Linked DNA regions of Kluyveromyces lactis. The protein of the gene in region 1 interacts with the protein of each later gene in a biochemical or structural test. Links are inferred from orthologs where the notes say so. Each region holds a gene or a part of one and is shown on either strand. Other genes may lie near its edges.

The links.
Region 2: the proteins of BNI1 (region 1) and BUD6 form a complex in vitro, tested with the Saccharomyces cerevisiae proteins (5 studies listed by BioGRID). The link is inferred for Kluyveromyces lactis from reciprocal best matches to the Saccharomyces cerevisiae genes BNI1 and BUD6.

What each region holds. Positions count from the first base shown.
Region 1 is NC_006039.1:196,033-199,261, forward strand, and holds the end of BNI1 (formin BNI1), read right to left. Parts: coding exon 501-3,229; downstream 1-500. Other genes in the region: guanine nucleotide exchange factor SEC2, read right to left, coding at 1-211. UniProt on the Saccharomyces cerevisiae protein: Required for the assembly of F-actin structures, such as actin cables and stress fibers. Nucleates actin filaments. Binds to the barbed end of the actin filament and acts as a leaky capper, slowing both polymerization and depolymerization.
Region 2 is NC_006039.1:1,621,433-1,625,340, reverse strand, and holds BUD6 (formin-mediated actin nucleation enhancer), read right to left. Parts: upstream 2,595-3,908; coding exon 501-2,594; downstream 1-500. Other genes in the region: EST2 (telomerase reverse transcriptase), read left to right, coding at 1-476; MMS22 (Mms22p), read left to right, coding at 2,892-3,908.

The sequences.
Region 1 (3,229 bases):
TCTTATCGGTTTCGTATTGTAATTTCAAAGATTGTAGTTCCTGCTTCAATTCATTATATGAGTTCGCAATATTCTGCTGAGTGGAAATGGTTTTCTTAGCCACTAGTAACTGTTCTTCTAATTGGGATTGTTTATCAATGCTTTCGATTAATTGCGTAGATAAAGATGTCACTTGCAAAGATATGCGCTTTGACTCTTCTTGATCCGCCATTCTAAAAATAAGGCTACCGTCAGCTTTGCTTGTAGCAAGTACTTTCTGTTAGCAAAATCAGTGATTCATTTATTGAAGTAAATTACACAGGCGAGTATTTATGTATTTCATTAGTCCTCTGGTAATTTGGTTGATATATATTACATTCTTGATTTCATCAAACATTGGAACTAAATTCATTACCCGGTTTTAAAATGAAAATGTCAATTTCGGTATACGAATTATGTCTATGCAAGTATACACATATTGTAGTTATTAAATAAATGCTGAAATGAGTATTATGTAGTCTTTAAGCATCAATAAACTCATCTTCCGATGAGTTCGATGTGTCCATCAAATCTTGGGTTGGCGATAACGGTTTAGGATGAGGTCCAACTTCTAGGCTTCCAACAAATTGTAGTTTATTAGGTTGGTCTACTTTCACAGAAGAATCTTTTTTTTTCAGATCCCTAAGCTTGTCCTTTGCTTTGATTGGGGATGGAGAAGCGTCTTTTCTTTCGTCAGGGCCTCTTAATTCTAGTAATAAATTCCTTGCTCTATCTGCAGGGTCTTGTTTTGATGACGACAAGCTTTCAGTTTCAGGAAGGCTGGCCGATTTTTTAGCAGTAGGCGATTCGGTAAGCGTTCTATTTTGTTCCACGAAAGCTTCGATAGTACTATCAGCAGTGATGTTATCAAAAATTGATGCCCCGGATTTACCATCTAGTAATTTCTTTCTAGCCAATGCACGTTTACGAGTACTAGATGGATCTCCTTTTGAAGGAGCTGCATTTTTCAATTTATCCAAAAGCTTCTCTATATCGTCCCTATCATCAGACGGTTCTTGCGAAGTGCTTAAATTTTTTGCTGTTGCCTTACTATCTGCCTCCTGTTGTTTCCGTTGTTGATCTTCAATCATTTTCTTTCTCCTTTCGTAAGCACGTTCTTCTTCTTCCAGTTTGACATTATGAGTTTTAGCTTTCTTGAATTCGGTAATGAAATCTGCAAACTTTTGGAAGAAAGAGTTTTTAGAGAACTTGTCGTTGGCATCTTCGCCAAATTTCTTCATTAGATTTTCAAATTCCAGCAAACTTAATTTGATTTCATCGCTTAGAAGATCAGCTTTCTTTCTAGCTTCAGGTAAAACCGGTACTACCTTATTTAAAACACGATCTAACGGATGGAATTTAGAAGGGTCACTTAGGTTTCCAATTTCAATAGAACGCTCAACGTTAATTACTGACTGTGAAAATTCCTTACAATCAGTTACCAACTGTTCGATGGATATTTTTGTTACGCTAAAAATAGGCTCAAGCTCTTCCACGAAATGGCTGTATTCGGGATAATTTTCACGAATTATCTTTTCCACATAGTTCAAAAAAGTCATACTGTTCTTTTCATCTTTAATGAAGGTCAATCTTTGTAGGGTGCTTAGCTTGAACCCCTGAGCTTGCTTTGAAGAATCATTCATATAATTACCAACTGCCAAAATAACATCGAAAACATGTCTGAGACTTTCAGATTGTTCGATGCACTGAACTGCTCTATCAATTTTTCTTAGTTTAGTGACCAAATCCGAATAGTCTTTTTCATAAGTAGTTATCATAGTGATTGCTCTCATACGAGACCCCCAGTACGGTTGTAAGTTAATCATAAATTCAACATATAGTTGATCTGCACGTTGAAGTTCATTAGGATCTTTTTCGGGGGGTTTTGCATCGTCAACAGATGTCACTCCCTCCCAATCAGTACTGTAAGGATTGAAATATCGTGCCAAATTATTCGTTACTTCAATTATGGTAGGCTTTGACAAAAACTCTATTACGCTAGGAGTAGATAGGAATTCTCTATCACATTTCATTACCTTCCCAACAACATCTTTAACATCGAGGTTGGAGAACATATGTAGGTTAATACCAAATTGTTGGGAAACATCTCTCGATAAAAAGGTAATCTTTTCATTTGCTTCCTTAGACTTTCCTTTTAATGATTTGGTTTCTCTGGCAGCAAACGCTTTTTCTAATTGACTTAATACACCTCTTTCGAATAGATCGTCAGCAACCTTTTCTGCTTGAGCATTTTTCCAAATAGAATCCCCAGCATTGTCAATTTTTTCCCAGTGTAATTGTTTGAGCTTCTTCTTGGGACGAGGATACCTTTCAAAGAGAGATGGTGATTGCGGTAGTAAGGGACTTGTGACTGTCGCTTTGGGTGTGTTTGCCGATGGAAATGGTGGAGGTGGGGGAGGGGGAGGAGGAGGGGGAGGAGCAATACCAGGGGATAATGCAGTAGGGAGAGGAGATGGTACTGCAGTAAGAGTTCCACCTAATGATACCGGTAAGGGAGGTGGTGGCGGCGGTGGTGGTGGTGGCGGTGGCGAAGCAGCGGATACGATTGTTGTTGTTGGATTCGCTTCAATAGATTCGGAATCCCCGATTTCAGACTGCATTGTCGTTGGCGAATATTTATCATTCAAGATCACATTCGAGATCTTGTCGCTTCCCTGTTGAGCATCTGTCAAAATGGGTTTTTCTGTAAATTGACTGACTGGTTTTTCAGTACTCTTTAACGATGCACCAGGAGATACAGATATGCCAATACCCACAGGGACATCATCGATGTCATCTGTCATTTTAACTTTTGATTTTAGCTCAGTCAAAAACGGTGGCAGATGTTCGCTCGTCGCTGTTGGGTTCACTGTAGTATTCTTTAACCTATTCAAAAACGATTTTCTATGATAACCGCTTCCAGGATACCTAGTCTCGCGTCCCACACGACCACCATTCGTAGACGTGGCGGTCTGTTGTCCAGTTGAATACTTTTGAGATAATGATTCAAGGAATGATGATCCATTGGATACAATATCCGACCCATGAGATGCTTGTGATTGTGATGAACCATCTTCTGAAGAGGAAGATGCCGAAGACAACGATGACGAAGATGATGAACTTGAGCCGGTTTTAGGTCTATTTTTCATTTCTTCTTTCAATGCATTGAGTTCATCAATAATTGAATTCATTTCTTCTACCTTTCTTTGTA
Region 2 (3,908 bases), about 1.4 Mb from region 1:
CAACAAATGTACCTTTTTGTGCACTGCAGTTAAATCTAAGAACCCTAGAAGTTTGGAAAGACCGCTCATCGTATAATGTCCTAGGAACAGTTTTGGGATCATCTAAGCAACTGTATAATAAATTACTCTGGATCTTTGAGATGAGACTATCTTATAATATGCTGGACGAGCGCTTAAATTCTTGGGAAACGGCTGCAAGGTTCCTGAGAGAAGTTGCGTTAAATGTAATTCAATCGTTCATTGTCCTTTTTAATAGGAAGAAAAGCAGCAGAAGATCTTTCAAACAATTTGTTTTCAACATTTTTCAGCGAATTGATCTTAACCTCTCTTCAGCTAATATGTTCTCGATGGAAAAGTCCGTCGCGTCAAAAGAACTGGTGTTGTCAGTTTTCCTTGAACAATTAAAATTAAGGAAGAACGCATTTGCAGACATTTTGACAAATGTCAGCGATTTGAAACTATTAATAGAGTTTTAATGCTATTACTTAAAATTATTGTACCTATATCAGACCAAAATTAACACGCAGATTTTCTTCGTCTTTTTGTTTTCTTAGGCGTTCTATCTCCTCAATGCCACCGGCCTTTTTGAAGTTACCTTTCTCAACGAAATTGCCCAACTCATCTTCAAAGGCTTCATTTTCCTTGTACTCTTTCTCTCTGTTTCTTAGTTTTTCTGCCTTTTTAATGGCTTCCACTCTACTGTCATGATCTGGGTTGAGATTCTGAACTTCAGTCAAGACTTGATCGCGGATCATATTATATGTGCCTGGCTTGGCTATCGGAAGAATGGGGTTTCCCTTATTCTTCTTTGGGGCCTTTTCCTGTTGTTCGCAGCACAATTTAACCAAATCAAATGTCTCCATAACCTTATTCAAGTCTTCTTGTAAATCAAATACGAGATCTTCTTGCAATGTCATGAACTGTTGCTCTTCACACACCCTATCTAATTCCGCTTCCCAAATAGTTTTCCAATTTGGCTTTTCGACATCTATATAATTTCTCATTTGATCCAAATCCTTCTTAGCGGAGTCTAATTCAGACGATACATTTTCAATCTTCTTCTTGGGTGTTCTCGCACCTCTAATGGCCACATCTTTACGTAATGCCTCAATGACATCTTGAAGATCGTCAACTTTACTCAAAAGATTATCAGAAACTTCGGATAACTTCGACTGGGACTTTTCCATATAATCGCGATTAGCTGACTTTCCTGTAGTTATTGAAAGGCTCTGGAATTTCTGTAGTTTTTCCACGATAGCGTTTATAGTATTTTGAAGCGATCTCTTTTGGTCGCTATGTATCTGTTTTAAAACGGTAATTTCGTGCCTAATATGAGCAACTTCTTTACGATGATCCTCATGTATAACTGTTGCAGAATCTGAGGATTTTGGACCACTTGAATAATCTGGTGACGATACGTGAGTACTATTTTGGATAATCTCTTTCAAATTTTGAAAAATTGTATCTTGCTTTTCTAATAAACCATCTTGAAGTTGGCGGAACTGTTCATCTAGAGACGATGATTGTACCTGTAATTGGAATACGCTCCCATCTATTATACCATGTAGGTGACTCTCTTCAAGTTCGTAAAATGCCTCGTATTTGGGTTCCTTCACATATATGTCAGGGAATACATCACCTCCTGGGGAATATGCAAATTTCTCAACAAATAAAAGTCTAAGCTTGTTGAAAGAGAGGTGAGAACTAGTTACACATCGTTTCACCTTCTCACCGATCTTCAAAAAGACAACAATTTCATCTATGCTTGAGTTATCACCTTTTGGTTCTGGTGCTCCTGTCATGGGATGATAATCTACGGATGAAGCAGAAGAGATTCGAGAAGGCTGTCTTTCCATTTTAATGCTTTCTGTATCAGAAACATTGGCCGCTGCTGCCGCTGCAGCAGCGGCTGGAACTGCTAAATTTTTAGACGTTGGGGAATTCGATGGATCTGAAGCTGTTTGGTTGGCTAATTTCGCCATATGATACGCTGAAAACCTCTTCGAGGCTCTTCTTTGCAGATTATTTCCCTTTTTCAATTGAGTTAACGCATCGCTTTCAGAACCCTTGGGAACTTCTAACGTAGGTATCTGTTTTGTTTCAATATGAGCTGAAGTAGATGTCGGTCCCGCGCCAGCCAAAGATGTCGTTGCGCTGACTACGGATGAAACGGAAGATCTTTGAGGAGTATGCTGATATTTCAAAGCATCTTCATTCCTGCTCAGTTTTATCATCGCCTGTTTAACCTTAAGTTTCTCCAAGAGTTTAACTATAATATCTCTGATCTGCGGTAGGTATTTATTCAACGTTTCCTCAGATGCAGTCTCTCTCAATGCCACCTCCAATATTCTTCGAAGGTCTTTTGGCACATCGCCAAGATCCGAAATATCAATTCTAGCATGGGTAAAATGTCTACTGACTAACTTGAAATCATTACCCAATTGAACATACACATCGGAAACATTACGCTCGGTAACTTTGCCCTTGGACCATTGCGTCAGAATTTGTAATAGTTGTTTAGTTGAAATCAATAGTTTCGTCACACTAGTTTCCACAGATGATGCTGATTTAGAAATTGGTGGTGGTGTTTCCATCTTTATCAGACACACCTTACGTACCTCACCCTACTGCTTCCACACACCTAACTACTAGCTAGGAAATCCAACGTACACTTTTTAAACGGTATGTTTCTTCAAAGCATTACTAGATCAAAAAGCTTTAGGTTTGATTTGGTTTGCATAAATCTTTTGTTGATAAATATCAAGAAACGTAATTTCCTGAAGTTAGGCCGAGATAATGAAACAGGAAAGTATGGAAACTTACCATTTCAGAAGCTAAGCAACCAACAGAGACGTGTTACCGCGTATGACATATAGCGTGGTTTCTGTGGGATGAATCAGGACTCTGTAGTCCCCAATTCGGAGGCTAGTGATGAAGAGATCGTAATACCTCTGCATTCGGAACCAAATGTATTTCCAATCTTCGATGACGAATACCAGGTACGCGTCATTCCGGGCAGTCTCGATAACGTAGCACAGACACCTCCTGATATTGGAGTTTACTCTAATAGTATAAGACGTGCATTGAGAAAGCGTAAAGCAATCCAGAAGATGCCGTATAGTTTGGATAGAATACGGCATCGGCAGTTATTGCAAGGGTACGATGTATCTAATTTCGAATCTCTAGCAGATCATATCAATCTGCCGAGTGGTTCCCGGCAAGATATTACTGTTAATACGGACAATGGGGGCGTGCTCAATTCGAGTCCTGTGAAGGGCGGCCTTTCACAGCAAGAACACTCGACTATTGCGTCAACAAGGCTTCGAAGGCATCACCATTTCCATATTTCAGATGATGATGATGATGATGAGGTATATGGTAATGCTGAACTAGACAGCGATGAAATTCGTGACGAGTGTCATTCGGAAAGTGACTCGAATCAGTTTGATAGATCCAGTTTATCCTATGATGATAACGTTGTTTTTAGAGGAAGGCAAGTCAATATCAGAACAGGATACAAAGGTGTATTACCCAAAATGGCGTGGAAGAAAGCACTTGATAACAATACAGTTGAAAGTAATAGACAAGGAAGAAATAAAAATAACCACTACGATGAAAATTCACGGAGTAAAGGTTTAGCCAAGAGAAAAATATCTCGTAGAACGTTTAATTCCAGAGACGACAACCTTGTAAACGAATTAATAGAATCGGATGCTGAAATTGAAGTTGGATTCCCGGAAACATATCTACGGCTACAGAATGAGCAAGATTCAATGGAAGACTCAAAACTAGAGGAATATTTTCTACAGAAATATGAGCCAGAACCAGATTCAGATTCAGATTCAAATCCACCATCTTCAGCTGATGATATTACTGAAATTACAAGCCAGGGGATCGAACTACTTACT